Linked DNA regions of Ovis aries. The main gene of each other region encodes a partner of the protein of the gene in region 2 in a complex. Links are inferred from orthologs where the notes say so. Each region holds a gene or a part of one and is shown on either strand. Other genes may lie near its edges. The genes, in order: WDR77 and PRMT5.

Evidence for each region.
Region 1: PRMT5 (region 2) and WDR77 share a complex: the UniProt entries of both Homo sapiens proteins name them as parts of the methylosome complex. The link is inferred for Ovis aries from reciprocal best matches to the Homo sapiens genes PRMT5 and WDR77.

The regions. Positions count from the first base shown.
Region 1 is NC_056054.1:88,856,456-88,871,924, forward strand, and holds the end of WDR77 (methylosome protein WDR77), read right to left. Parts: coding exon 15,295-15,469; intron 13,260-15,294; coding exon 13,118-13,259; intron 12,602-13,117; coding exon 12,552-12,601; intron 10,333-12,551; coding exon 10,262-10,332; intron 10,129-10,261; coding exon 10,074-10,128; intron 9,617-10,073; coding exon 9,545-9,616; intron 8,975-9,544; coding exon 8,866-8,974; intron 8,331-8,865; coding exon 8,262-8,330; intron 7,706-8,261; coding exon 7,546-7,705; 3' UTR 3,717-7,545; downstream 1-3,716. UniProt on the Homo sapiens protein: Non-catalytic component of the methylosome complex, composed of PRMT5, WDR77 and CLNS1A, which modifies specific arginines to dimethylarginines in several spliceosomal Sm proteins and histones.
Region 2 is NC_056060.1:21,726,529-21,742,553, reverse strand, and holds the start of PRMT5 (protein arginine N-methyltransferase 5), read right to left. Parts: upstream 8,428-16,025; 5' UTR 8,414-8,427; coding exon 8,304-8,413; exon of another isoform or gene 8,277-8,303; coding exon of another isoform or gene 8,218-8,276; intron 7,652-8,217; coding exon 7,533-7,651; intron 7,235-7,532; coding exon 7,149-7,234; intron 6,994-7,148; coding exon 6,859-6,993; intron 6,507-6,858; coding exon 6,394-6,506; intron 6,062-6,393; coding exon 6,012-6,061; intron 5,804-6,011; coding exon 5,640-5,803; intron 5,205-5,639; coding exon 5,043-5,204; intron 4,868-5,042; coding exon 4,790-4,867; intron 4,698-4,789; coding exon 4,639-4,697; intron 4,552-4,638; coding exon 4,429-4,551; intron 4,347-4,428; coding exon 4,171-4,346; intron 3,309-4,170; coding exon 3,199-3,308; intron 2,954-3,198; coding exon 2,860-2,953; intron 2,679-2,859; coding exon 2,562-2,678; intron 1,407-2,561; coding exon 1,342-1,406; intron 426-1,341; coding exon 273-425; 3' UTR 1-272. UniProt on the Homo sapiens protein: Arginine methyltransferase that can both catalyze the formation of omega-N monomethylarginine (MMA) and symmetrical dimethylarginine (sDMA), with a preference for the formation of MMA.

The DNA.
Region 1 (15,469 bases), on a different chromosome or scaffold from region 2:
TCTATAGGACAGGGCCACCTGTGTCTGGATAAGATCAAAGTTCTGTTAGTAAAGACTGAAGGAGGGAAATAGATGTTAGACAGCCAAACGCACCTGCTACACTATTAGTAAAGTCCACGGTAATAAGCAGCTACTCAGCCTCTCTGGCAGCACACAGAATGGAAGGGGACCAGAAAGACTCTTGGGGAAGGGGAGGTGGAATCAGCAGAGCACAATCAGAACAAGAAAAACAAATACCCTTCACAGAAACCAACAGAGAGGCTGTTCTTCCTGATGACAGTGGTGAGCTCGCAGAACAATTCCATAACCCTTGACAACAGCTACTTCACTTCCAACCTCACAGAACATGCACGAGCTGTTCTTCGTGAGGGTCAGTTGTTCCCCACTGACCAAGACAGTAGTTGTCAGGGTGGTGGAGTTGTAAACAACAGACAGCAACTCTGGCTAAATCACTGCAAACAAACTAAGAGGGAAGCCTGTTGGAATCAATGGGCATGTTGTACAACCAGTCTTTTTTTTTTCTTTTTATTAAGATATAGCTGATTTATAATATTAGTTTCAGTGGTTCAATATTTTTACAGGTTAGAGCCCATTTAAAGTTATTACAAAAGAATGGCTCTATGTCCCTGTGCTAATATGTCCCTGTTGATTATTGATTTTATACATAGTATTTTGTGTCTGTTAATCCCATACCCCTATCTTGCCCCTCCCTCTTCCTCCTCTCCATGTAGCCACTAGTTTGTTTTTTATATCTGCAAGTCTGTCTGTTTTGGTATTCATTTATTTTTTAGATTACACCTGTAAGTGATAACAAGAGTATTTGTTTTTATCCATCTAACATTTCACCAGGCACTATTCTCTCTAAGTCCATCACATTGTTGTAAATGGCAGAATTTCATCTTATGACTGAGTAAAATTCCATTGTATGTAAACATATGACAGCTTCTTTATCTATTCGGGCTTTTCTGATGGCTCAGACTATAAAGAATCTGCATGCGTTGCAGGAGACGCCAGTTCGATCCCTGGATCAGGAAGATTCTGTGGAGAAGGAAACAGCAACTCATTCCAGTATTCTTGCCTGGGAAATTCCATGGACGGATTCACTTATTGATGGACATTTAGACTGCTTCCATACCTTGACTATTGTAAATAATGCTACTCTGATCATTAAGGTGCAAGATTCTTTTCAAATTAGTGCTTTTGTTTTCTTTGGATACATACCCAGGAGCGGAATTCCTGGATCCTACTGTAGTTCTATTTTTAGGTTTTTGAGAAACTTGCATGCTATCTTCCATAATGGCTACATCAATTCACAATCCCACCAACACTGTACCAAGATTTCCTTTCTTCCATATCCTCACCAACATTTGTTATTTGTAGACTTTTTGGTGATAACCCATTCTGACAGGAGTGAGGTGGCATCTCATTGTGGTTTCAATTTGCATTTCTCTGATAATTAGTGATGCTGAGCTGTTTTTCATGTGCCTGTTGGCCATCTAAATATCTTTATGTAAAAATGTCTTTCCAAGTCTTCTGCCCACTTTTAATTGGGTTCTTTGTTTGTAATAATGAAAATTACAGAAGTAAAGAAAAATTAAGGAGAAATAATTCCATTTGCAATCACATCAAAAATAATTAAGTATTAATAACTAGGAATAAACTTAGCAGGGACGTGAAAGACATACATTCTGAAAACTTTATAAAACACTGATGAAGGAATCTGAAAACAACACAAAGAAATGGAAAGATATTCCATGTTCTTGGACTAGAAGAATTAACACGTTAAGACGTCCATATTACCAAAGGGACTCTAAAGAAGTAATGCAATACCTATCAAAATACCAATGACATTTTTCACAGAACTAAGAACAAGTAACCAGAGATGACCCAAGTTGCCAAAGCAATCTTGAGAAAAAATAACTAGGCTGGAGGTATCATACTCCATGATGTCAGACCATACTACAAAGCTACATTAATCAAAGTAGTATAGTTCTGGCACAAAAACAGACACACAGATCAATGCAACAGGATAGACAGCCCAGAAATAAATCCACATATTTTGTCAACCTACAACAAAGCAGTCAAGAATATACAATGGAGGAAAGATAGTCACTTTAATAAACGGTGCTGACAAAACTAGACAGCTACATGTAAAAGAATGAAATTAGAACTTTCTCAAACACGATCACAAACATAACTTCAAAATGGATTAAAGACCTAAATGTGAGACCTGAGACCACAAAACTCCTAGAAGAGAAACAGACAAAATACTCTGACATAAATGGCAACATATTTTTAGATCTGTCTCTTAAGGCAAAAGAAATAAAAGCAAAAATAAATAGGACCTAATCAAAAGCTTTTGCACAGCAAAGGAAGTCAACAAAATGAAACAAACAAAAAAAACTACTGAAAGGGAGAAAATATTTGCAAATGGAGTTAATTTCCAAAATTTATAAACAGTTCATACAGCTCAATATCAAGAATCTATCTTAAAACATAGTCAGGATCCAAGAAAGAATATTTATTAAAAACAGCAACAACAATTTGGCAGAAAACAACAAAATTCTGTAAAGCAATTATCCTTCAAGTTAAAAAAAAAAAAACACACACACACACAACATCGCCAGAGTCCTGCCATGGGAAGTCTGGTTAGGAATTCTACTGCTGGCTTTGGTGCTGCTGCTACTGAGCTATCCTCGTCATTGCCAGATAACCATTCTTTAAATCTTTGCAGCTCTGCCTCCAGATTTAAGAATTTAATAGATTCCATCTATTCCAGATGGGAACAGCCAAATGGCCAAGTCTAGTTCAGCTGCCTACACCCTAGTGGCTGAGATCAAAGAAAAAAAATACATAAAAACCTCGTCACCCTTAAGCTTCCATAGTCTCCCCTCCACAAAGCACACCAATGGAATCCATTTCAAAAGCACTTCCAACATGTTACTGCTTTGAGATCCTCAGCATGGCTCACAGCACCCACCATCCAGTGGCAACTAGCCTCATCTTTTATCCTGTACCCTCCACCTCCATTTAACCCTAGTTGCAATACCTCTTTCTCTAGGGAACTCCAAGCTCCTTCCACAGCAAGACTCACATGTCTGGAATTCTTCCCCAGCCCCAAGCAACAGCGACTCCACATTCAACCTTTAGGACTCAATCCAAATGTCACTTCATCAGGGAAGATTTACTTCTTCATGACTGGCTACAATCTCTGTTTTCCAGCAGTCTTTTTTTTTTTTTTTTTTTTTGGCTAACGCTAAAACACTAATTCCATCCTGTCTCTTTCTCTCTAGACTTAGCTGCTGCAGGCTGAGCTGACCATGTCTATCTGGCTCACTACCACACATCACAAAGCCCCAAAGCTTGACACACCAAACTCTCCTCTCATGTACTGCTGGTGACGTCCCTGCCTGGTTCCTGACCATCTAAAATTCTCAGGGGGTCATAATCAAAGTTGGTCCTTTTCCCACTTTAACATGCAGGAGTCACTGGGGACGTTGTGAAAATATAAACTCTGATTTCGGTGGTGTGAATGTTTGGTCCTTCTAACAAGTTTCAGATGATGCCAACGCTGCTTGGTCCATGGACCACATTTTGAGGAGCAAGGCAACAGCTTAGCAAATCAAATGATAAGACACATAGGAAACACTGTATAATTCCACTCATATGAAGCACCTACAACAGTCAAATTCATGGACAAGAAAGTAGAAGGGTGGTTGCCAAGGTCTGGGAGAGCTGTTTAATGGATACAAAGTTTCAATTTGGGATGAGGGATAGTGGTTGCACAACATAAATGTACTTAATGCCAATGAATTATACACTTAAAATTTTGTATTTTAATGTTGTTTGAAAAACAACTGAGAGAAAACAAAAAGGCACACATTGACCTTGCCAAGTGGAGTCTGCAACAGGGGCCCAGGGTTGGCATTGGGCACAAGAGACTGCGTCTCTAGGTGCTGAAGTCAAGGGTGGTATTAACGCAAACTCTGCCAGGCAAACTGACATTGGATAATGGTCAGGGGACTGAACATCAGGTAGTTTCTGACCTAATCAGAGGGCTTCTGTGAGACACAAGTTGCTTGTTAAAAATCTGCAGAGCTTGAAGCGGATTTAGGTTGTACATGTCAAGCACTTTTCTAATTCAAACAAGCTTCATTCCTTTCACCTAAGATAAGGGTTACTATTGGAATGGAAAATTTTGGCTTAAAATTGAAGCTCTTAATGCATATAACGTGGTTCATCCCAAAGTGAAGTATACCAGCATCTGATACCCAACATCACAGTGATAATGAAACATCTACATTCACTGAAGGAACTCTCACCCAGCAGCGCCAGCTGAGCTCACACCAGAAAGTTAAAAGGATGACGTTTGGAGGTGAAGCCCTTTATTACTGACCTTTTGAATTTTGATGATCTATTATACACTGAAGCAGCAGAACATCATTTACAAGACAAGCAGAGTTTTCAGAATACGTTGAGGACTACAGTAAACCTTACTACTCCAGACGACACAGATTTTAGGATCAGCAATTGTACCTTAAATGCCTCTGTAACTGAAAATGAGTTAACATTTCCTGTCCTTATCTCTGCACCTCCTTCACTCTCTGGATAGTACACGTCCTATAACCACATAATGAAGATGAAAAACTCCACAGCTATCCATTTGTGGTAAGAGAACTCAGTAAGGAAACGTTGGGGTTCAAAACTGGTCTGCTTACTCTTCCAAAATCAAGCTATATAGACTGCTGATGCTCGTCAGAAACTTTAGTCACCTCAAAAATCAGATTAGAGCTTCCTTACCCTTTTGGGGAACAAAATCAGTTCCCGGCACAAGTGATTCTAAAGTTCAGTATGACCCAGATGTATAAACAGCAACTTGATGTGAATTCTTTCAGCTTTTCACACTCTGTTGGCTCTCCTTAGATGCCCTAAAACTTCCCTAGACTGCATACAAATATTCGGTGTATATCTTACTGAAAGAAATGCTTACATAACAATTTGGAATGAGCTTTTCTTTTTCTTTTCCTATTCTTTTAGTTTATAGATACAAGTCAAGCAACCACGGAAATACTAATATTGCTTATGCTGTCCAAATGCCACAAATCTGCCTTTTAAAAACTCAGAGCCCATTTTTAGGTCTAGAGGTGGCAAGGAAGTTTTGAAGCCCTCTGTAACTGAGTGAGTGGGAAATAACAATATACATCTTCCCACTCTCGCTCTCCCCATCTTGTGCCCTACCACACTGCCCAGAGTACATATGACTAGACGCCCAGTCAGAGCCTGGGTGATTCTGCTGCCTCAGTGAGACTGTGAACCAGCAGGTAATGCCTACAGAGCTAATAATTAAAGACAAGCCTCCTACTGTCTTGTGGGGCAGGACAGATCCTGGAGAATGAACCTGATGTCTGGAGCTACCTGAAACAGTACTTGAGCCAACCTGTGTCTATTGCTCTGAGCACTAGAAATCAGCAGTGGTATACGGTCAACCAGGTTAGTGGACTTGAGTGAAGACAGTGAAAACGGAGACAGATTTACTGCAGGTGTTCAGACATGTGAACCAGTGAAATTAAGCACAAAATAGATACTTGTATGGTTTTAAACAAAACAAAATGAGCCCATTTCCACCTGTTATCAGCAAACCTGTGCTCCTGCTACTGAAACTATTCTCAAGTAAAAGACTAGTGAATAACCCCACGTGATAGTACATTTCTGATTATTCTGAGGTCATCTTCTGTCTTGAACAATCTTCTTTCTCACCATAGTAGACACAGTCAACCAAAACTGGACGCTCATTTCTGACATGACTTTGATTACATTTGCAAATGTCTTGGTGATGACCATCGATGGAATTATTCTGGTTTATCTGAATCAGCACAGGTTTATCTGAATCCTAATATTTTTCACACTAAGTAAAGTGGTTCTTCAAACTCTAGGTTTTCTCCTTTGGTGTCATTTTAACCACCTTGACACAATACATTCATTTCCCTGGATTATCTCATTCACTGAGTTTTCTCTCCACTATTCAAAGTCCATGAGGAACAGGCCTATGCAAATTTAATTCCTACCTACCTCACTCTCTCTAAGAGATAACAAATTTTAAGCTTTTATCTCCAGGAAGAACTTAAAGAGTTTCTATCAACACACCCTATTACCTCTCTAAAAAGTCACATGGAAGAACAGTGAAGGCTTCATTCTCACCTCTCCCCAAACCCAATAGGTAGACCATCTAATAACAAAGTCCCATGTTTTTACTTGAGGGTAATTGTGAGACCAGAGCTCATGCTCAGCAAGGGTGAAACACAGCAGCTTTACTTACAAATCCTTCACCCAAGAAACTACCCCAGTTTCATGAGATTTTAGCTAAACAAAACTTGCAAAGCACAAAAGTACGTAATTGATTTAATTTAGTTTCAATACAATCAGTAATTGATCCATAACTTCTAAGTGGCAGCAGCCACCAATTCAGTAAACAAATATTTACCTTAAGTTTCAACTAGCTACTCTGGGGGGCTGGGGAAGCACATGAAAAAGTAACGGGCTCTAAGATAGATATCTTGATGACTCATGTAAGTGACATGTCTAACTGCACATAACACACATGCTTCAAAAGACAAGCCAACGATGAATCAACTTTTTATTTCACTGACCGGTACTTCTCTCTCTGATGCTGTATTTAAACTCTTCAGAGTCCCCCAAAATAGCATTCAGGTTTCCTATGTCCAGAGATAGGGACCCAGAGGCAAAAAAGGTCAGGCCCCAGGCTGTTTTCAGGTGGGAAGGTGGCAGACATCCCTATGTAGGTCTATGTCAGTTTTTAACTGAACCGCTTCTAAGCTCTCCATCCTGAACCTCTTCTATGGCATCTACGACAGAAATACATGCATCCTCATCAACACAACTCCACGGGGGCGGCGGCAGTGAGGGGCATTACATGGGTACCAGCCAAACTTCTCATTCGGCCAGAAACTGGACTTCTGGCTCGGTTTAATAACAAGGAGATGCATAAAACTGTGGTGAGTGTCCTGGCTCTTCCTTAAGGTGGGCTGGACTGGATGTAAATGGAAGTACTGCTCATGATAAAGCTGAATTAAGCTCTATAAAAAAATAAAGTTGCTCCTATCTCTATGAGCAGTTTCCGAGAATCCAGGAATGCCCACATCCCGTACCTCAGACATGGCCAATTCCTAATGCACAGCTACAGCGGGAAGCATAAAAATCCCTTGCTAATTTTTAGGGCGTGGGGAGGATTGGGCTCTGGGAAGACACGGGATGGATATTTTTCTCCCTTCCCCCACCTACAAAGACTACGTATCTAAACACACACTCAGACACACACACACATCCATGTTCAAGGGAATTTTTCTTCCCTGACTACAGGACCCCAGGATCCAGCCTCCCCTAGGCTGAGACACAGCGCCTTTGAACTGCACAGATGTGGTGTACCAACATACTGCATAAGGCTCCTCTGTTGTCTCATAAACTGAGAGGGCAGGGGCAAAGGGCGTGGATACTCATGGGGGATTCACTTCTTGTCTGAAATCCAATCTACTCAGCAGCACTCTTAGGTCCAGGCTCTGGGAGAGGTTCTGTGGGCAGGATATGGTGGATGACCTGATGGTCCCAGCCCACTGTGGTAAGAAGGGAGTGATTGAGCGGGGACCAAGTAGCATCTCTCACAAAGTCTCTGTGGGCTCGGCTTCTAAACCTACAAGAGAACAAAGAAAAGTGTGGGCTTGGTAAGAGACAGAAGAAAAAAGGAGAAATGGAAAGCACCCACTTCACCATATATATGACCTAGTCATCAGGCCATCAGTGTAGCCAGGCAAAGACGACTCCATCATCCAATCCAGTGCCCTATTTTCATAGAAGAAATGACAGCTAGAGCAAGGGTATGATGTGAGTCAGGGTCAGACAGCATCTCATGGCAAAGAAGGCAGTACCCTCAGATCTTGTGTCTGGGGCCTTTTATCCTATAGCAGGCTGCATTCCTACACGTGGTACTTGGTGCAAAAAGCACACAGTGTCCCTTTCTGAGAGATCACTGGAATGCCAGGCTTAGGAATCCCACCCAACACCACATTCCTCTACCAGGCCCAGAGCTTGGGAGTCAGGCCCTGGAACAGGGAGACAGTCAACAGCTAGCCTGCCTCCATCACCAAGTCTCCCTGAAAGAGACAACGTGCTTTTCCCAAGGATAAAGAGACCCAGCCATCTGCTGGTCCCTCCATGACTCCTGATCATAGGGTCCGTGTCACACTTACACCTCAGAAAGGCCTGAGTCCAGCACAGCAAGTGAGCAGTCCTCACTGACAGAGGCCAGGAAGGGAGCACTAGGAGAGAAGAAGTTTGCAAAAGATCAGTTCATAGGTATCAGGACAAAATTTGACTAGGCAGTCCCCAAACCCCACTCTAAAGTGACCAGAGAAGGTAGCTTGATCCCCACTTTGGTTTAAAACCTGACTACCAAGTCTACAGTACAAGTTTCAAGGGAAGATGAGGAAAACGGAGCAAAGCTAGCACAGAGAGCCATCCCTGCAACTAACCATCCCATCTGGTGCCTCCCTGTAGCTTCAGCAATAACCCAGAAACACAGGCTTTCCAACCACACAGCCCTAGAAGCCCACAGCATAAGTCATTTGGGGTGCTGAGCAGGAACAAGACCGTGTTTTAGCCATTTGCAGTCAGAGACCATACAACACAAAAAACGGACTACAGTCTTAAGAGATCTTTCACTTATTAAGGTCTTCAGCTAAAACAGTGTCTGTTTTAAGGAACTACCCATCAGCTAATGCTATGCCAACACAAGTATTCTCCCTCACTCTTCCCTTTCGTATCTACCAGGCCCTTGATGACAAAGAGCAGTACCTGTGTGGGGAGAACACCAGCCCAGTGACACACTGGGAGTGCACAACAGAGCTGAGGGCACAGCTTGCACTCTTGGTGTCCACAAGGGAGACAGTCCCATTCTCATCACCTGAAGGAAGAAGACGCAGTATGTTAAGGGGGTTAAGAGAATGGACTCTGGACTAGCCAGATCTGTAGTTGAATGCTGGTTCTTCAATCTTGAAAAAGTTAACTGTTCTGAGCATCCATTTCCGCTTTGGTAAAGTAGGAATAATTAGTCATTTGAGGGTTGTGAAAATTAAAACTACTGGATGAGATAACTGTTGTGTTAACTACAAACTACATCACAGAATACACAGCCAGATCACCATGTTAGCATAACCATTCCCTACTATACAATAGGATTCCCTAGGTAACAGTCCTCTTGCTTTGTGGCCCATTGACTTCTAGCCGTGAATGTAAGAGCCACAGCAAACAATCAGGAATCAAATCTTCTAGAATAAAAATTACCATGTTCTTTAAAGCTGAACTAAAACGACTTTTGGCTCATCCTACCTCTGCACACACCCATTAGCGTACTTCACTGAGAGCTCAAGTGTGCTGACAGACTGAGCAGCCAGAGCCCCATGCACCATGGAGTGTCTTTCTTGCTTATTCTCCCCTTCCCAGAGTCAACACACAGTTGGACATGCTGCCTTACCAAAGACAAAGACTTCACTCTGCTGAGGATGCCAAGTCAGGGAGGTAGGAAGGTAGCCAGAGGCACTGCAGCCTGTGAAGGAGAGAAGAAGGGTCTGGAACAAAACTCTGACCTCAGCTTTGAGAAGAAGCTTTGGTGGTGAAGTCACTCTAAATCCCAGGAGCACCTTAATTCAGTTTCCCAAGTTCTGCTAAGGCAGTCCCATCCTCACTCTTGACCCTCACAACCTATCAGCCTCCTGCTCTTTCCAGACCTGAGTCACAGGCAAGTTTCAACGTAAAGCATGAAGTTGACAACTCTGGCCCCTTTATTCGCCCATCCAGGAAATATCAATTACACCCACCCTCAAGAACTAGCCCTTCCTCTTGGGACCCACTGCACAACATGAACCTCAGTGGGAAAGAAAGCAATTAGATCATTCATGTCAGTGACTGGGCATCTGGTAGCTTTGCCTTTGACTCTGGCCAAGGGAGGTCTCTTCCAGGTGGGTTCCTAGTACCATCATCCCACCACCAGCTCTCAGACTCACCCATCTGTGATGCTGGCTTTGGACAGCGGGTATCCCACAGTAAAATTCTATTGTCCTAGAAGAAGGAATAGAAAAAGGGCTTCACAATCCAAAAATAGCTGCTGGCCAGAAGCTGTCCATGCTAGACTTAGGTCTAAAGGGTTCGAGTGTGGTCAGGGATGGGAAGGGGAAAAGCCGCTATATCTTACCTCACCGCATGAAAGAAACACGGAATCCTTGTGGGGAGAGGCAGCAACACAGGTGACCTGCCCTGAGTGAGCTGTAGAGGAGAGAGAACAAGAAGTATGACAGAGGAGATGAAAGCAATCTTATCAAGAAGCCCAGATACTATGACGGGGTAGGAGGGAGGCTGTGAGAACTAGCCCTAGCTAGTCAAATGATGCAAATGAAGAAATTCCATGAGAGTCTGGATACCTAAGAGGAAATGTTGATAGCATTATAAAACCTCAGTAGACTTGCAGGAAAATGAACGGCTACAGTAGACATGAGTTTGAGTAAGTTCCAGGAGTTCATGATAGACGGGGGAGCCTGGCGTACTAAGTCCATGAGGTCACAGGGTCGGACACGACTGAGCGACTGAATGGAACAGAACTGAAAGACATGAATGGTAAAGGCTGAGTCTGATCAGTAGAGGGATTTACAGTAGAGACAGCCTAGACAGCACAAGCACACGTGCCTCCAGGTAGCGTGCGAAGACTTGCAAGGGAGTCCTGGACACTCGGAGTTTTAAGGGCATTTCTCCAAAGTTCTCTCCCCATACCAAACCAAGCAGCTGCCTGTGGTCTGCCAGCACTGCAGACCTCTACTCTCAGTCACCCGTCTCCCATGTGTAAAAGAAACACACACCTCTCCTCCTCCCCAAACTGTATCGTGGTGTGATGTTCAGAGCATAAAAACCTAAATAATAAACCAAAAGAGGGTTTTTGTAAGAGCCAAAGAAGAAAAGAAAGAGCATCTGGGTAAAATTCTGTGAAGGAGGCTGACCTTTCTTGGCCACACCACGAACACAAGTATTTAGGTACTAATTTAAAAACATTTGAAAGGGTACAGTTTTTCAAAATTCTTTTAGGGCTGCACGCTAAGAATGTTAAAGGTCATTCTAAATGTTAATTACCGGCTGTGGAAACCACCTTCTCCAAAGTGATTTAACCATAGTCTAAGATAGATGTGGCTCTGCCTTGAGATAGAAGTGTGGGTTCAAGCCACCTTCCACAGAATCCACGGAAAGCCAGCATTAAGAACAGGAATGTACTGCTCACTTGAAAGAAAGCTTTGGGGCAAGCACCATCGGGGAGGACGAAAGATGAAAAGCTACGTGGGGCCTCTGCCTTTAGGGAACCTGAAATCAGTGGGGGGAATACGAATAAACACAAAGAACTGTCACAACACAGTAAATCAACAATACTTCAATTTTTTTTTTAATTTAAATTAAGAAAAAAAAAAAAAAAAGAACTAATAAAAAAGGCTGTAAGGAGCAAGTGTTTATTTAGCATTGGCCAGAAAAGCATATCATATGTCTATGAAAGAAAAGGCTAATATAGTAGACTTTGAACACTGGCATTTTAACATTATTATCTAACTGTCTGAAACTCCAGGAGACGTGTGAGTTTGTGGTTTTGCTTTGCACGTATCTGAATCATACACTTTGCAGTTAGAATTGGCAGAGATAGGCAGTGAGGGAACTAGTTATCACCTATGTCTACGTCTTTCAGTCACACATACACTAATGCCCTATACATTATCTTCATTAAGATCTGGTATCTTCATGAAGAATGGCTCCCCAAACAAAGTTAACTGCTACTGCTGTTAATGAAAGTGAGCAAAAAGAGGAAAGTTAATAGAAAATGATGGCTCTCATCCTCCAAAAACAAGAATTTATGGATAGGAATACTCAAAAAGTTCAAGGTTCATGAGTATCAGAGTTTATACTTGAAGAATGCCTCAGATGTACTGTGACTGGATTTAGGTAGCACGATATGCTTGAAGGAGGAATGACAGTAAAGAGGCTTGAATGCCATGACACAAACCTGAGATATCAACCTGCAAGCTGCAAGAAACCAGTGAAAGGCCAAAGATGACAGGTCAGGAGATGACATGAGTACCACAGTCTAGGCGAGAGAAAGACTGAATGTAAACGGGAGCATAAGAAATGAAAAGGAAGGTCAGCGACCAAATGGAAAAGAATTCCAAAGAACTTGGGGACCAACTGATAGAAGGAAAAAGGAGGAGTGGAAGAGGACTGAGAGTTTGAGCCTCAGGTGATCAAGAAGGTGATGAGCCTATCGATTAAAAAGATATAGGGAGATTAAGAGCTAGAGTCGACATTGGGACTTGACCATAGTTTTGGAAGAAAACTACCAGGCAGGAGAGCAAAGAATTGGTGTCACTGACATCCAAGGAAAGCTCAAAGAGCACAAAGGAGAGAATAAAAACAGAATAGCTACAACAGGGACTAAAAAGGAAAGAAGATGCACTCACCTCGGTATGAATTCAGAACCATCTGCTGAGCAAGGTCCCAAACCTTGATGCTAAGAAGCAAAGGAAACAGAGACTTCATTTGACCTATACTATATACATAAAAACACGTATTCAAATATGTATTCCTCCATCTCTGTCGTCTACGGGACTACCAGTACAGTCTACTTTTACAATGGACTGAAAATCTCTAAGAAAACCCTATAAGAAACCTTATGAAAGTGAAAGTGAAGTCGCTCAGTCCTGTCCGACTCTCTGCAGCCCCATGGACTGCAGCCCACCACGCTCCTCTGTCCACGGGATTTTCCAGGCAAGAGTACTGGAGTGGGGTGCCATTTCCTTCTCCAGAGGATCTTCCCGACCCAGGGATTGAACCCAGGTCTCCCTCATTGTAAGCAAGACGCTTTACCGTCTGAGCCACCAGGGAAGTCCAAGAAACCTTACAGGTATGCCATAATTAGTCACTGGGTTCTTATAATGAGCCCAAAACATTACTTAGTGAGGCTAATGTGACACCTAAGACACCCAAAGAAGGCCCAGAAACAGGAGCAATGAGAGTGGGGACCCACCAGAAGTCTTTGCTACCACTGACAGCATGTGTGCCAGAGCTCAGGACACTGACTGTAGACACGATGTCATCGTGCTCATACTTGCAGAACTTGCTGACAATAAGCGTCTCATTCTCATCCAGCTCCCACAATTCAACAGCACCTGTTGAGGGTGGGGAAGACGGTGAAGGAAACAAGCTGGGGTTACACCAAGACAGCACTTCACTTCTAGGATGCTAAGTTCTTGAGAGACAAGGATGACACCTCCACAATGATATGAACAGCACACAGTTTAGTATTATTAAATAGTCCCAGTTATTTGGACATTAATTGTCCCAGCTTTATCCTTCCATGCAATGCCTGCCAACACCTCTATTCTTTTTTTTTTTTAAACATGAAACCCTCCACTGGTTTTTCCACTAAGTCTGACATTCAAAACAAAGAAAGCAGAATGAAGACATGTAAGAAACTGGGAAGAAATGGAAAGAGCATAGACTGGTTTCAGCATCATCTTTAAGATCAATATCATCCTTGATGTTGGGTGGATACAGAGAAAAACAGTTTCATTCATGTCTTAATTTTGTTATGAATTTTGCTAGAAATTTCCACCAATTTGGAATCTTGGGACGGGTATATCCTACCCACACAGTTATTCTCCTTTGGGACCAAAACCTTCAAGCTCCCCCAAGCAAGGAGTATGTTGTTGCTATTGTTCAGTCTCTAAGTCACATCGAATTCCCTGTGACCCCATGGGCTACAGCACACCAGGCTTCCCTCTCCTTCACTAACTCCTTGAGTTTGCTCAAACTCATGTCCATTGATGAGTCAGTGATGCCATCCAACCATCAAATCTTCTGTCGTCCCCTTTTCCTCCTGCCTTCAGTTTTTCCCAGCATCTGGGTCTTGTCCAATGAGTTGGTTCTTTGCATCAGTTGGCCAGTGTACTGGAGCTTCAGCTTCAGCATTAGCCCTTCCAAAGAATATTCAGGGTTGATTTCCTTTTGGATTGACTGGTTTGATCTCTCAAAAGTCTTCTCCAGCACTGCAGTTCCAAAGCATTAACTCTTTGGCACTCAGCCTGCTTTATGGTCCAACCCTCACATCCATACATGACTAGAAAAAAAAGTTGTTTTGTCTATATTGGACCTTTGTGGGCAAAGTGATATCTCTGCTTTTAATACGCTGTCTAGGTTTATTGTAGCTTTTCATTCAAGGAGCAAGCGTCTTTTAATTTCATGGCTGCAGGCACCATCCACAGTGATTTTGGAGCCCAAGAAAATAAAGTCTGCCACTGTTTTCATTGTTTCCCCATCTATTTGCCATGAAGTGACGGGACCAGATGCTATGATCTTCGTTTGCTGAATGTTGAGTTTTAAGCTAGCTTTTTTACTCTCCTCTTTCACCTTCATCAAGAGGCTCTTTAGTTACTCTTCACTTTCTGCCATAAGGGTGTCATCTGCATATCTGAGGTTATTGATCTCTCTCCTGATTCCAGCTTGTGCTTCATCCAGCCTGTTATTTCCCATGATGTACTCTGCATATAAGTTAAATAAGCAGAGTAACAATAAACAGCCTTGACATACTCCTTTCCCAATTTGGAACCTGTCCAGTTCTAATTTTCCACACCCAGTTCTAACCGTCACTTCTTGATCTGTATACAGGTTTATCAGGTAAAATGGTCTGGTATTCCCATCTCTTTAAGAATTTTCCACAGTTTACTGTGATCCACATAGTCAAAGGCATTAGCATAAGTCAATGAAGTAGTAGATGTTTTTCTGAAATTCTCTAGCTTTTTCTATGATCCAGTGGATGTTGACAATTTGATCTCTGGTTCCTCTGTCTTTTCTAAATTCAGCTTGAACGTCTGGAAGTTCTCAGTTCACATACTGTTGAAGCCTAGCTTGGAGGATTTTGAGCATTACCTCGCCAGCATGTGAATTGAGTGCAATCGTGTGAATCTGAACATTCTTTGACATTGCCCTTCTTTGGGATTGGAATGAAAATTGACCTTTTCCAGTCCTGTGGCCACTGCTGAGTTTTCCAAATTTGCTGGCATATTGAGTGCAGCACTTTAACTACATCATCTTTTAGGATTTGAAGCATCTCACCTGGAATCCCTTCACCGAGTATGGGACATTAAAAATTGAGCCCAGCCCGACCTCCATTCCACCTGTACAGCTGAGGAGCAAGTGACCCACCTGAATCAGAAGCCACTAGGATACCTCGGTCCCCTACCCAAGTGAGGTCAGCCACTCCGGCCTCCGTCTGGACTCCAGCAGAGCAGAAACCTTCGTTCGGAGCGGCACAAGGGTCCTTGAAAAGCCAGAGAGAGCCAGCCCAGCAGCGGCCACTCAGGCTGGAAGCCCCAAGCAG
Region 2 (16,025 bases):
GAGCTATCCCAGGGAGCCCTTGAGGCTGAGTGCCCGTTGGAGTAGCCTCAGATCCAACATGAATTCCTCATGCTCAAGCCTGAAGTCTTCACAGATTGGTATTGTGAGCCCAATTCTCCTCCTTTGCCATCTTGACGTAAGGTAGGAAAGCAGACTGAAATGTTCCTCTCTGATGGGCATGGCAAATCAGAGCCCATGGTGTACTGCACCTTCTGTGCTACAGGAACAGAACCTGCAGCTGCTTCCACGGCTCCAGACACTTGCAGGCAGGGCTAGAGGCCAATGGTGTAAGAGCGGCCTGTCGGGTTGTGAATAGCAGAGCAGACCGGTGCCGTCACAGCCCACTCATACCACACCTTCTTAGAGTTGCTGCATCGCCAGAAACGCACACAGATGGTCTGGCCTTCACGCACAGTAATGGGCTGCTGTAAGAAGAAAGAGGGAAGTTCAGGGTGGAACTGCTGAATTTTATGTGGCAAGGTACTAAGCCAAGTGTGGAGATGATGATCAAATATAACATTCCAACCCTCATGAGGTTTGAAGTCTATCAGAACAAATCATCAGAACTGAACAATCTGACACTGAACAAATAATCAAAAGTAGGATGAATGCTGTAAACAGGGACAGTACCTATGAAAAGTAATGCTAACCTAGTCTACGAGGTCAGGGAAAATTATCTGACAATAAGAATGTCTAGTAAGACCTGGAAGATAAAGTCACCTGGGTCAGAAAATGAGCCAAGAACTTTATAGGCAGAGGACAAAAGTGTGAAACCCTGAGGCAGGAAAGAACATGGGGTATTAGAGGAACCAAAAGAAGGTCCAAGGACTGAAGGGATGTAAACAAAGGACAGCAGCTGAAAGGGCAGGTGAAAACTAGATCACACCAAGTCTAAGGAAGATTTAAGACTTTATCCTGGGACTTCTCTGGCAGTCCAGTGGTTAAGACTTTGCACTTCCACTGTGTGGAGCGTGGGTTCAATCCCTGGTCAGGGAACTAAGATCCCACATGCCATGTGCCAAGGCCAATAATAAAACAGACTTTATCCTAAGGGAACTGGAAAGATATTGAAGGGTTTTAGAAGCAGGAGACAGAGATAGGATCATATTTGTGCTTTTATACGATGACTCTTGCTCCAGGTACAGAATGAACAGAAGAATAGCCTAAGTAGATGTGGGAAGCCAGGTGGAAGGCCACTGCAAATATCCCAACGTCTACAAATGCATGTGAGAACAGCAGAACAAGGGTCACAGCCAAGCATTATCCTGGGAGAAGGAAAGGGGCAGAACATCAATGCCATAAGTTACTTTTTAACCCAAGGAGCCTTAAGGTGATACCTACCTTAATGGGGAAGAGGATGGGAAACCATGAAAACATCCCGGGAGAGTGAGTCTCTGGACGGATACCTAAGTGGACAAAATAATGATAAAAATTGAGAATAACTGATTGCTGTACACCTGAAACTAACACAACATTGTTTTAACTATATTCCAATAAAAATTAACAACAACAAAATGAGGTCTCCATGACTCTGTTTTTTGCCTAGGTTGAGGACAGTCTCATCTGTAAACATGGAAACAAGTCATCAAAGATCTCCATTCACTGACTGCTCAGTTCCTTTTGACTCTAAATGCAACATGTAGGCTGCGATCCAAAAGTCTACAAGCAATAAATGCTGAAGAGGGTGTGGAGAAAACGGAACCCTTTTACACTGTTGGTGGGAATGCAAACTAGTACAGCCACTATGGAGAACAGTATGGAGATTCCTTAAAAAAAACTGGAAATAGAACTGCCTTATGATCTAGCAATCCCACTGCTGGGCATACACACCAAGGAAGCCAGAACTGAAAGAGACATGTGCACCCCAATGTTCACTGCAGCACTGTTTATAATAGCCAGGACATGGAAACAACCTAGGTGTCCATCAGCAGATGAATGGATAAAAAAGCTGTGGTACATATACACAATGGAGTATTACGCAGCCATTAAAAAGAATACATTTGAATCAGTTCTAATGAGGTGGATGAAACTGGAGCCTATTATACAGAGTGAAGTAGGTCAGAAAGAAAAACACCAATACAGTATACTAATGCATATATATGGAATTTGGAAAGATGGTAACAATAAACCTGTATGCGAGACAGCAAAAGAGACACAAATGTATAGAACAGTCTTTTGTACTCTGTGGGAGAGGGTGAGGGTGGGATCATTTGGGAGAATGGCATTGAAACATGTATAATATCATATATGAAACGAATCGCCAGTCCAGGTTCGACGCATGATACTGGATGCTTGGGGCTGGTGTACTGAGACAACCCAGAGGGATGGTATGGGGAGGGAGGAGGGAGGGGGGTTCAGGATGGGGAACACGTGTATACCTGTGGCGGATTCATGTTGATGTATGGCAAAACCAATACAATATTGTAAAGTAATTAACCTCCAATTAAAATAAATAAATTTATATTAAAAAATAATAAATAAATAAATGCAACATGTATTAAATACATAAGCTGCCCAGGTAGCATACTCTTAAACCCCCATCCACTGCCCCAGACACTCACTCAGAGTGATGTCCTGATAAAGCACAGTCTCAAAGTAGCCTGCAAAACCATGTAGCACTGTGTTCACCTCCACAGGAAACTCCAAGGTACAGTAGCGATTGTTGTCAATCATAGGATCTGTCAGGGAAGAGCTGTGTGGGTGATGAGGAACCAGAAACCCTAGACAACTTGGTAAAGCATAAGCAGGAACCAGGAAAGAAAGCCTAGATAAGAGGCCAGCTAAACCCAGGACAGCAACGGAAGAAACCAGGGAGGTGAGCTCCCCATTCAGTCAGAGGACAGCCATGCAGGAACCCACCTCTATTAGGATGGCTGAAGGTAAAACAGGGCTGGGGTGCAGACAGCTGGTGGAAATTGTGCAGTCGTACCACATAAGGCATCTCAAACTGGGCCTGTCCCAAGAGAGAGAAAATGATATCTGAAGACGACAGGCGAGAGCTACCTAATTCCTCAGGGAATGCAGCTTAAGCTCTAAGGACACAGACAAAGATAAAAACGTAGGTTCACTTCAGTCACTTTCCCACATCCTCAACTCCTTCACCTCTTCATCTCTTCCAGTGGAATGAAAGTTATGCTGACAGAAAAAAAGAAAAGCATTAAAGAGAGAAGAGACCGCCAGAAGAGAGTGGCTGTTTACCTCAGGGTCACGGTCCTTTTCCCGACAGGCTCGGACCTCATTGTATAGCTTGGAGGAGGAGATGGGAGCTAGAAAGGAGGTGTACTCCCCAGGAATGCTCACACCATCATCTGCAGAGCAGAAGAGGCACATTACTTCCCAGGGGATGGAAATGGTGCATCTGTACTGAAGGCCCAGACCTCCCACATCAAGAGAGACCCAGGCAGCTCCATGTTGTCACATGCCCAGGCCACCCTGCCCCCCCCCCCGCCCCGCCCCGCTCATACCCTAAGGCATTCTACTTCCAGGTTAATTTAGAGTCACAAAAGAGTAAAACCGGAAGGAACCCAAAGTATTCTAATCTAATGGTCCTTAACTCTCTTTCCTTTGAGTTAATGATGAAAGCTAAGTCCAAGGTACATGTCATGGCAGTTCAGGGAATCCACAGATCTCAGACTAAGAATCTCTGCTCTGGGGGCTTTCCTGGTGGCTCAGTGGTAAAGAGTCCCTCTGCCAATGCAGAAGACAAGGGTTCAATGCCTGATCTGGAAAGATCCCACACGCAGAGGAGGAACTGAGCCCGTGCGCTCCAGAGCCTGTGCACTGCAACAGGAGAAGCCACTGCGATGAGGAGCCCAGGAATGCTGGAGCGTATGCTCTCCACTGCAGCTGGAGAGTAGCCCCCGCTCTCCCTGACTAAAGAAAAGTCCACGCAGCAACGGAGACCCAGCACGGCCACAAATGACTAAATAAATACCTTTTTAAAGTTTCTGCTCTGGTCCGCTCCCCTCATTTTACAGATGTGAACACTCACACCCGAGGTTCAGGGAGATTGTGTCACCTGCTAAGGGCACTGACCCGAGTCTGCCCTGCCTCCCCTAAACTCTGTAACCTCTTCTAAGCTGCTGCCATACCCACCCCTCCCCAACCCCACTGAGCCTTCCCAGTTGATAATCCAATCCCCTTATTCAGTACACCCCAGCCTGGAGGCACCTTTTAGGAAGTGCTGGGCTCCATCCAGGCACTCAGGTGACAGTTCATTGTCAGCAAAGGACCCCAGAAGCTCACTGACAATGATATCTGCTTTCTCTGGAGCCACCCACTCCCGCATGTCCGATGAGACTACTGTCACCTGGCTTCCCCATTCTTCAAACTGCCAGTTCTCCAGCCTGAAACAGATGAAACGAGTCAGGAGAAGAAAGAAAACCTGGCACTGGGACCAAACTTCCCAGCATCAAGGTTGCTACTCACGTCACCACAGCATTTGGGTTCTTCTCCACAGCGTACAGCTTTATCCGCCGGTCAGCTTGCTTGGCGGCTCGCAGGGAAGCGTTCACCAAGGGGCCCCGGCCTGCTCCCAGCACCATCAGCACTCTAAGAAACAGAGGGAGCAGTCAAGCTGACTGTACATGTGGAGAGGCAGGCATGCACATCTCTGGGAATCAGGCAGAGAGCACTCACTGGATGTTGGTGTCCTTCTCTTCCTCTGGCACTCGATCTAACAGACATTTATAGATGGCCTGAGGGGAAGGAGGGAAGATCCTGTGGCTATAATGCCATCTTCACCCAGGTCACCCCAGCCCTTTGCCTGACACTGAGACCCACACTGTACCTGCTGGTACTGAGAGTATTTGATGGGGTCCTTTTCGAACACTTCGTATGTCTGAGATTCCAGGTTATCCATCAGTGGCTGATGAATGAGAGGAAAAAGACAGAGTAAGTTAGCCACTTTTTGGCAAGGACAATGCACCAGAACACCAAAACCTTCCCACTGTCTCCTGAGCTCCGGTGAGATTTTATGGAACCTACTCTCAAGATACATTTCCTCCCCCAACCTCCATCCTCTTAGTGCACTCCAGACCCACCTGGAGTGGGGACTGCAGGTAATCTTCATAACCCTTGGCAAAGAGTTCGTAGGCATTGGGTGGAGGTCGGTTCTGGCTCAGGTATTCCAAGTATTGGAGGTAGGAGCAGAACTCCTTCTCTGAGTGGTGGTTGGTGCCTGTGATGATGAACTGTACCTCCAACTGTGAGAATAAGTAGGCCATCAGACACAGTCCTTGAAACAAGAGGACATTATTGAAGCTTATGGCCAAAGAGTTCCAGCATAAAATAAGGCCCAAATCACCAAATAACCTCTGAATACCAACAAAAGCAACAGGAGCCCTCCTATACCACATAAGCATCACCCTGGCCCCAGGGACCCCATGAATCATTGCTGGAACTTCTTACATCAAACTTTCGGCAAAGTTCTCATGATACCCGATTCCTTTTGAAATGGTTCTGGGGCTTCTACTGCTATTTGTCCTTTTGCTCTCAAGGCCCTCAACTTTGCTGAAATTGAGCTCCAGAAGTTAGAGAGGAAGAATCAGCCCCACAAAGAAAAAAAAAAAAATCCCATCACACATATGTGAGTAAAACAAGATTAACTGGAACACCTTTAGAACCCTTCCACTACACACCTTGAGAAGTCGGAAGATCAGCCTCTGGTGCATCTTAGAAAGAACAGGGAATCCCTTCTTATTGGTCAGGAAAATGCTGGTGGGGAGAATGGCTGCTTTGATGGGCTCCCCAAGCCAACGATCAATGACATGGTTAGATGGGAGGTCAGCACCAATTTCAAGAGCTACAAAAGGGAAAACAAAGACCTGTCAATCATACAGGCCAGAATCTTTGCATGCTCTTTTGTGCAAGATCTGTCTCCTCCTTAAGAGCAAGGCAGACTAAAGCATGGAGAAAGTATGCCCCAGCAGCCAAGTATACATGAGACTCCTGATTTTTAGTCACAGGATTTCAGAGAAGGATAACCTATCCCAGGATCTTTGTGGACTCACCCACTGCAATCCTCTTGCTGTAATCACACAAGGTCCGGAAGTTGTGCCACCTGTGCAGAGTTAAAACACAGAAGTTAGTTGCTCAGTCATGTCCAACTCTTGTGACTCCATGGACTGCAGCCCTCCAGGCTCCTCTGTCCATGGAATTTTCCAGGCAAGAATACTAGAGTGGGTTGCCAGTTCCTTCTCCAGAGGGTCTTCCTGACCTAGGGATTGAACCCAGGTCTCCAGCATTGCAGGCGGACCATTTACTGTCTGAGCCACCAGGGAAGCTCCATCAAATACATACGGCCCACTAATCACCACACCTCAGGGAGACCTTCCTACAGGTTCCACTCTGTACTTCCCTCCACCCCAGGTACAGTGGCAAAAGGAAACATACCACATCCATGTCTTCTCCTCTCCACTGTACTCCTCTGTGTGAGAAGTTGGTGCGTTCTCAATTATATCATCTCTCAGGTCCTCTGGTGCCACCAATGGCACCCGCATCCAGAACTGCACATGAACAATAAATAGGTTCCACACCCTATTTAGAACTGTTTTGAACCCATTGGGTCCAGAAAGCTTCCTTCAATTAAAAAGATCTTGATCCAGATTTCAAGCTAATCCCCTTATATCCTATTCCCAATTTGTGATTATATGTTGTCTTTTATCTCTAGAAGTTGTGGGAAATAACTGATATTCTATACGTTTTATAATACTTTGCTCACCACTCTTAGTGTGGGTAGGCAGTACTGACATTTCAGTTCTCCCAAATGCACCCTTCACTGAATGGCTAGGAACAAGAAGATACTTAGCACAGCCTGACTATCATAATATGCAGCAGGGAAGGAAGCCCTTGCCATACCATGGAGGAGTGGTGGCCAGTGTGGATGTGATTGGTCAAAACTCTCGCCAAGTTTGTGTTATCTTCCTGATTTAGGGGCAGCAGAAAAGCTGGAAGACCCAAATATGCCCCAAAATTCAGCTCCTGTAACATAGCCTGGAATAGAGATTAAAAGGATAAAGTTAAGAGCTAGCAACTCAAATAGCTTTAATTGCATTATATCAAATTTACTAAGTTACAGAGTGGGGAAAAAGTGCTCTCCCCACCCAACTTGTTTACTGATATTTAGTCAGTGAAGAGGTCAGTCTTACCGCCTCAGAGTTCCTGCGTATCTTCTCCACTTTTGAGTCTGGACGAATCCATGGAGAAAGCTTTCCCACAATTAGTGTATTCCAGTCTGCACTCCCCCACCCAAGAAAGACAAAGACTAAATAAGGTTCAGCACTTTACTCATTCAATTTCTAGTTCTTAACAGGGAATAGAGTTACAGATGAGACAAAGACTTTTTCTATCACAGATACAGGAGAGCCTGACAGAATAGGGAACTAAGGCTTTTAGTAGGTAGGTAAGGAGTTATCTATATCCGTGGGGCGAACCAATATATCCAAGTGAAGAAAGGAAGAGGAGGAAGGCACTGATAAAGCATAAGTTGTTACTGCCTCTAATAATTAAGGGGCATGTGGGATGCTCCCTACCCCTTCCTGACAGCAGTAGGTCTGATCGTGTCTGGGGGCCCGGCCGACTCTTAGCAGGTTCCTGAGTGAATTCCCTCTTGAAACGCGGGTGGAACACAGGCATGCAGAGGAAATCAAACCTACAACCGCGACAGACCCAGAATCGTCATGTAAAGACAGCAGCAGTGCCCAGAGATCCAAGTAATTGGACTGGCTCTCTTGATTCTGCACAACCCTTTCAGCTGCCACCAGCGACCCGACTAGACTGCTGAATTCAGCCAACCTTGGGGCATATCACTTCCGCTGCACTGTGCCTCAATTTCTCGCCAGGACACAGCCATGGAAAAGATGAGTTAAGAGAAAAGATGAATATCCACACCACGTGGACTTTCTACTCTGCTGTCACTGGTTTTCCGAGACTGTCACATCCAGATCGGCAGCAGTACTGCCTAAGTATCCCCCCTCATGGTTTAACTCTCCTCTCCCTAACCTCCTAACTATTTCTCCCAATCTCACACGGGGCCCTGGAGGTCTCTACGCCCCCTTTTTGAATTTACTTGATAACTCCTCCGACTTTGGGGTTCAGTGACCACACGCCCCCAATAAGTTTCCCGCCCTCCTCTCAAGCTCCAGGGCCCGAGGCTTCTCCCCCCGAAGGACTAAATGGTTTCTCCCGCCCTGGTCTCATCCACTTCGACCCCCTCACCCCTGCCTCTCGGGGATGACTGGTCTGTCCCTCTCGGTCCCCGAGTTCGGACCCCGCATTCAGCTCGCGGAGGTCCAGGCCCTCACCCCTGCTTGGCCACAGCCCCCAGTGTGTCAGCTATTTCGGGGACGCAATTCAGGTCCCTCCCGCTGGACACGCGGCTTCCACCGGCACCACCGACCGCCATCGCCGCCATCTTTTCCCTCGCGCAATCCACGCCGAGATTCCCTGAAGCTAGCAGCCAATCACAAAGCCGGAAAAAAGCCCCCAGAAGGCGGGACGTTTCACCTTAACAACCAGAGCGTCTCCCACGGCTCTAGAGCTGGAGGAGGAAGGGTGGGGAGTGGCTCTTCTCGCCAATCCGCGGGCTTCACAGTGACGTACGGCGAGGCTTCGGAACAGTCACCAATCTCAGGGTCTGATTCTCGACGAACTTAATCTCCCATAATGCTTCGTGTACTCGTAGAACTCCGTGCAGAGACTACACGTCCCATGAAGCCCTGCAGTATAAGCTTGAAGTGTCATCATTGGGGCCAGCGAAGTCGTCTCGGGGCCAGTGGCGCAATGGATAACGCGTCTGACTACGGATCAGAAGATTCCAGGTTCGACTCCTGGCTGGCTCGGGGAGACGCGTGTGTTTTTGTTGCATCCCATGCAATACTGTCATAAGCAGTATTTTGAAAGTATCCCGTTCTTCCCTTTCTAAATTTCCTTATGATCTCCTCTTACCCTCATTTTTAGCTCATAATTTTATTGCGTTCTGCAGCCATTTTATGTCAGCGTTTTCCATTGCCTAATTCAAAGATGGTTCTTGTGTCTCTATTTAGGTCCTTCAAAATCCTGAGAAAATTGAGGTAATGACTAAATTGGGCTTTGTATGGGCCTTAGTATATTTTTTAATAGATTGTGGCAATTTAGCCACCAACTCCTTTCTATTCTATATCTCAAACAAACAAAAAGTAAATAAACATCTAAACACACACTGAAGATAGGAAGGAAAAGAAAAAAAAACTCATGGTGAGGAATTACAGTGGAGAGGAGTTATGAACAGCCTGGCGGAGACCTGAGAGAATCTCAACATTTTCCTTTCTAGAGAATTTCTACATTTTCTTTGTGAACACCTGCTACAGGGATGGAAAAGAACGAAGCAAAGAAAGATATAGGGAGGAGAAAGAGAACCTGAAGACCCAGAGGTGTTGAGGGCCTGGCAGCGAGGATGGATAGAGAACACAATACGGAAGGCCCGAGGCAGGAGGTCACAGAACTTAGTGACCAACGGACAGGAAGCCTGATAAGGGAAGTCTGCGGCTGAAGCCCAAGATTTTGGCCTCTTTGAGTGCTACAGGAAATGAGAAGCTCTTTTAGGGAGAATCAGGGTTTGGGTTTGGAAATGCTGAATTGGACGTCTAGGGGGCGCTGTGTAATAGAGAGTTGGAGGAATAGTGATCAGAGCCAGACAAGATTTGGAAATCGCCAGGAGAGGTAGTGACTTTAGCCACGAGACTGGATGAGATGACGTAGCCCGTGAGGGATCAGAGTTCTGAGAAATACGGAATGGGTGTGGATAGGATAAGCAATAAGGAGCCCTGGGTGCAATGTATTTAGTGCGTGCCCCCAAAAGATAAAGGTTAGAAAACTAAAGAAATGAGAAAATGCCTATGGAGCTTAAGAGTTGGAGGTACTTTTATCCCTATCTTATTATTATTATTACTAGACTTTATTTCTTAAAACAGTTTTAGAATTATAGAAATCTTGAGCAGGTGGTACAGTACAGCCAGCTTTCTCATGTCTTCCTACTGCTTTCTCTATTATTAACATCTTAACATTAGTATGATACATTTATTACTATTGGTGGACCAGAATTGATGTATTATTATTATTAACTAAAGTCCATAGTTTATTTAGATTTTCTTAGTTTTTGCTTAATGTCTTCTTTTTGTCCCACCATCCCATCCAGGATACCGTATTACATATAGTTGTCAGATCTGCTTACGCTCCTCTTGGCTGTGACGGTTACTCAGGTACTCCTTATTTTTGATGACCTTGATAGTTTTGAGGAATACTGGTTAGGTATAAGAAAGAAAAGCGAAAGCGAAGTCACTCAGTCGTGTCTGACTCTTTGTGACCCCGTGGACTGTAGCACCAGGCTCCTCTGTCCATGGGATTCTCCAGGCAAGAATACTGAAATGGGTTAGCCATTTCCTTCTCCAGGGGATCTTCCTGGGATCGAACCCAGGTTTACCCAGATAGAAGGGAGACGCTTTTACCTCTGAGCCACCAGGGAAGCTATGCTGAAGGACATCTCTTCCCTGGAGTTTGTCTGATGGGGTCTTTCATTAGACTGGGGTTATGGGTTTGGGGGAGGAGGATCACAGAGGTAAAGTGGCCATTTTCATCACAGCATATCAAGAGTACATACCATCAACATAATTTTTGACTGTTAATATTGAACTTTATGACCTGGTAGAACTAGTGTTTATCAGGTTTCTCCACTGAAAAATTACACTCCCCCCCAACCCCTTCCATCCTGTACTCTTTGGAAGGAAGTCACTATGTACATTCCACACTGAAGGAGAAGGGAGTTATTTTTTCCCTCCTTTAAGGTGAAGTGTCTACAGTATTTATTTGAATTCTTCCCTGAAGATCTTATGAGTAGAGAGTTGACGGGAAGTGGGTGATTCTCTGCCGACATTATAAGAAGAAGAAGAGTTGTTGGGAAAGCCTGCTTGTTGTTCTCTGCCCCAGCTGTGCCCAACCAAACTCTATATTCACAGAAGACTTATGAGATGTTCGTCTTCAGAAAAAGCTAATTATCTGGGCTGTGGACCATCTGTGTTCCTGGCATCTTCCTCCTGATGTCAGGCTGGCTGGTGGCTGTTCTGTTGATTGTTAACTAACCCATCCATGGATGAAAAGGAGAGAGGAAAATCTATGAAATCGTAATGTCAGTTTTGTCATCAGTGAAAATAATTTTCTAAAGGTTTTGTGTTCAAAAGAGCCTAGAATTTCTGACTGACCTTAAAGTAAGTTTAGACTGGCTGAATTTCATTCATCTGAGATGTCTTTGTTTTTTCCTTCAAAATGGTCTCTACTATGTGGCAAGCATGATGCCAAACGATTCCAGGTAATCCCACACCACATTGCTCTCCACTTCTCCTACAACACTTTGCTTTGTCTTAAAGAACAGCACAGACTGTGGGTCTATATGAGCTACAGAGGAGCAAAAGGGAATGAATGAAAAAGAAATAGAGAACCTTTTAAAGGGCTTGGCCTAGGCGTAAAGTCAGGGTTAATCAGTTCTGTCTTATCCTCTGCTTCCCTCTCCTCTGCTCTCCATGCTGAACTTTTGTGCTCAGAAGTATGTCAGTCACTATTACGCTATAGCATGTAGGCCTTTGCTGGAAGGAAGATAGAGATTTGGTAGGTGAGAAATAATGTTGCTTTCTCCAGGAACCAGTGACTAACAGGTCAGAGCTCTGGAAACGTTTCTGGAAGGAAAGGAGTACCCACCTTCCAGACAATCCTCCAGCATTCCTCAGCTGCTGCCCAGTCCTTCTATCTGCTCCTGTTTTTCTGTCCTTATTTAAACACGGCCAGTGAATTGTAAACTCTCCTTTCACTTTCTCTTGGGCTCTCCTCCTCCCTCAACACTGGTCTCCCTCCCCAGGCCCACCTTCACTCACCTCTATGCCTGCCCAGCCAGCCGCACTCTTCAACACCAAAATAATGGCCCGTCTGACCCTCCTACTGCTCCAAATTGCTTCTTCACAATCAAGGCTGTCCTCCAGCTATGAAAGTAGCAGAGTTACTGAGGCAAAATAATCTGTGCCAATTTGCATCCTCTTCCTTGTCATCTCTATTATACAGTATTTATCTGTCAAACTGAATAGAAAGTAGAAACTGTTCTGGAACATAGAAAAAGATGGAAAACTACCCAATTGTTTAGGAGGCCAGAATATACTTAATATCAAAACCTGTCAGAAGGAGGACCTTTCCAAAAGAGCAAACCTATAGATTTACCTAATTTAGGAATATAAATGTAAAAATCCTATAATATTTGAGATTAACAATAAATGTCAATAGTATATTAACATAATAATAATATACCAGAAACAGTTAGGGTTTATCCCAGGAACTAACACAGGTTAGGTATTAGGAAATTTATTTATATGATAGGTCAAAAATAAAGCAAACAAGAAAAAATTTGATCATTTGTGATAGTCATCAAAGAGAACATGGTAAGTAAATTCTATTTTCTGAAACATTGTTTTTTTAAAAATTATTTTATTGATTTTTTTATTTGGATGGGCTGGGTCTTGGTTGCCACATGTGGGATCTAGTTCTCTGACTAGGGATTGAACCCCAGCCCTCTGCATTGGGAATGTGGAGCCTTAGCCACTAGACCACCAGGGAAGTTCCTCTAAGACATTCTTAATAGTCTTAATATTCTTTATATATAAACACATATATATGTGTATGAAGTCAACAATTCATGTAAATATAAAATAATACAAGAATGTCTTATCTCATCACTGTGTTATTTAATATTATTCTAAAAAAATCCAATACAGTAAGCCTGGAAATTTTTAAAAAGGAGTTATAACTTTTAGAAAGAGAGAGGCAAATTTATCATTGTTTGCAGATGATATGATTGTGTATATAGAAAATCCATGAGAACCAATTCAAAAATGATGAGAATTAGTAATAGCATTCAGAGACACCACTTGATACAAGACAAATATAAAAATCATATCCTTAGCCTTCTTATAAACTAAGAATAACCAGTTAAAAGATATAACTAATAAAAATATCCCAATAACATGGTAGTTAAGGTCAGAGACAGTAGAGCCAGGTGGTAAGAGGTTAGCCCTATTTATCCATTTACTAACCATGTGAACTAATCCCTCTGGCCTCAGTTTCTTCATTCACAAAATAAAAATGTAAATTATAGTTATCTTATAAAGCTATGATGAACATTAAATTAGTTAATACTGTAAAGCATTTAGAACCTTTCTGCACATAGGAAGCTTTCAGTATACATTAGCTATTGTGATTAGTTTCTTTCCCATTCACAGAGGTAACAATAATATCACCATAAAATACTTAGCTGTAACCTTAGTGGAAAATATGAAGAAACTATATATAGAAAACCTAAAATTTTGCTGAGAGAGAGAGAGACTGAAAAAATGGAAAGACAAGCCATGGTCTTAGAAAAAAATGAATCTTATAACGATGTCAGTTCTTAATAGTTTGTCACTTTTTCTACATTTAATCACAATTCTAATGGAATCTTTTCTTACTTTATTAAATGATTCTACCATGCACTGATGAGTTTCCCAGGTGGCGCTAGTGATAAAGAACCTGACTGCTAATGCAGTAGATGGAAGAGATGCACGCTCAATCCTTGGTTTGGGAAGATCCCCTGGAGGAAGAAATAGCAACCTACTCCAGTATTCTTGCCTGGAGAATTCCATAGACAGAGGAGCCTGGTAGGCTATAGTCCATGGGGTCACAAAGAGTCAAAACTCGAGTGAAGCAACTTAGCTGTTGCGTTTGTGTTTTTTTTCTTTTAAGAAAAAGCAGACAAGAAAGCAAAGAAAAAAGTTTTTAAAGAGGAGGAAGGAGAGGGAATTTGCTCTACATTTTTAATCCATTACTTCAAACCCTTTATGAGACAAGCAATGTATAAATAAGTAAAAGGCCACGATGTGCGGTGGGTACAAGAAGAGACAGAGTAAAAAGGCTAAACTAATAGTCTAGAAATAGACCAGTTGCTCGTGTGTAATAAATATATGAATTCAACTGATGATAATAATAACAGCTAACATTTATTGAGCCCTTATTTTGTGTCAGGTTCTATGAAAAGCACTATACATTCACAAGAACCTGGTGATGTAGGAAATGTTAATCTATGGGTAAAGGAACTAAGTCTTAGAGAGTTAAGTGACTTGCCCCTCTAAGAAGGGGTTTAGATGGGGTACAAACCTAGGTCAACTGACTCAGAGCCTTTGATCTTAGCCTTAAGACATACCATCTCTAATTTTCCTTCTAGAAAGCTATCCTAGACAATATTCACAAACTAGATAAAGGACAGAAATTGTACGGACCTAACAGAAGCAGAAGATATTAAGAAGAGGTGGCAGGAATACACAGAAGAACTGCACAAAAAAGATCTTCATGACCCAGATAATCACGATGGTGTGATCACTCACCTAGAGCCAGACATCCTGGAATGCGAAGTCAAGGGGGCCTTAGAAAGCATCACTACGAACAAAGCTAGGGGAGGTGATGGAATTCCAGTTGAGCTATTGCAAATCCTGAAAGATGATGCTGTGAAAGTGCTGCACTCAATATGCCAGCACATTTGGAAAACTCAGCAGTGGCCACAGGACTGGAAAAGGTCAGTTTTCATTCCAATCCCAAATAAAGGAAATACCAAAGAATGCTCAAACTACCACACAATTGCACTTATCTCACATGCTAATAAAGTAATGCTCAAAATTCTCCAAGCCAGGCTTCAGCAATATACGAACCGTGAACTTCCAGATGTTCAAGCTGGTTTTAGAAAAGGCAGAGGAACCAGAGATCAAATTGCCAACATCCGCTGGATCATGGAAAAAGCAAGAGAGTTCCAGAAAAACATCTATTTCTGTTTTATTGACTATGCCAAAGCCTTTGACTGTGTGGATCACAATAAACTGTGGAAAATTCTGAGAGAGATGGGAATACAGACCACTTGACCTGCCTCTTGAGAAACCTATATGCAGGTCAGGAAGCAACAGTTAGAACTGGACATGGAACAACAGACTGGTTCCAAATAGGAAAAGGAGTATGTCAAGGCTGTATATTGTCACCCTGCTTATTTAACTTATATGCAGAGTACATCACGAGAAACACTGGGCTGAATGAAGCACAAACTAGAATCAAGATTGTTGGGACAAATATCAATAACCTCAGATAATGCAGATGACACCACCCTTATGGTAGAAAGTGAAGAGGAACTAAAAAGCCTCTTGATGAAAGTGCAAGAGGAGAGTGAAAAAGTTGGCTTAAAGCTCAACGTTCAGAAAACTAAGATCATGGCATCTGGTCCCATCACTTCATGGCAAATAGATGGGGAAACAGTGTCAGACTTTATTTTCTTGGGCTCCAAAATCACTGCAGATGGTGATTGCAGCCATGAAATTAAAAGCCACTTACTCCTTGGAAGGAAAGTTATGACCAACCTAGATAGCATATTCAAAAGCAGAGACATTACTTTGCCAACAAAGGTCTGTCTAGTCAAGGCTATGGTTTTTCCAGTGGTCATGTATGGATGTGAGAGTTGGACTGTGAAGAAAGCTGAGCACCAAAGAATCGATGCTTTTGAACTGTGGTGTTGGAGAAGACTCTTGAGAATCCCTTGGACTGCAAGGAGATCCAACCAGTCCATCCTAAAGGAGATCAGTCCTGGGTGTTCATTGGAAGGATTGATGCTAAAGCTGAAACTCCAATACTTTGGCCACCTCATGCGAAGAGTTGACTCATTGGAAAAGACTCTGATGCTGGGAGGGATTGGGGGCAGGTGGACAAGGGGACGACAGAGGATGAGATGGCTGGATGGCATCACTGACTCGATGGACATGAGTTTGAGTAAACTCCAGGAGTTGGTGACGGACAGGGAGCCCTGGCGTGCTGCGATTCACGGGGTCGCAAAGAGTTGGACACAACTGAACAACTGAACTGAACTGAACTGAGGACAGAGACATTAAGAGAAATGCTTAGTGTGACATTTTTCTGTGATTACAAAAAATGTAAAACAATTTGGA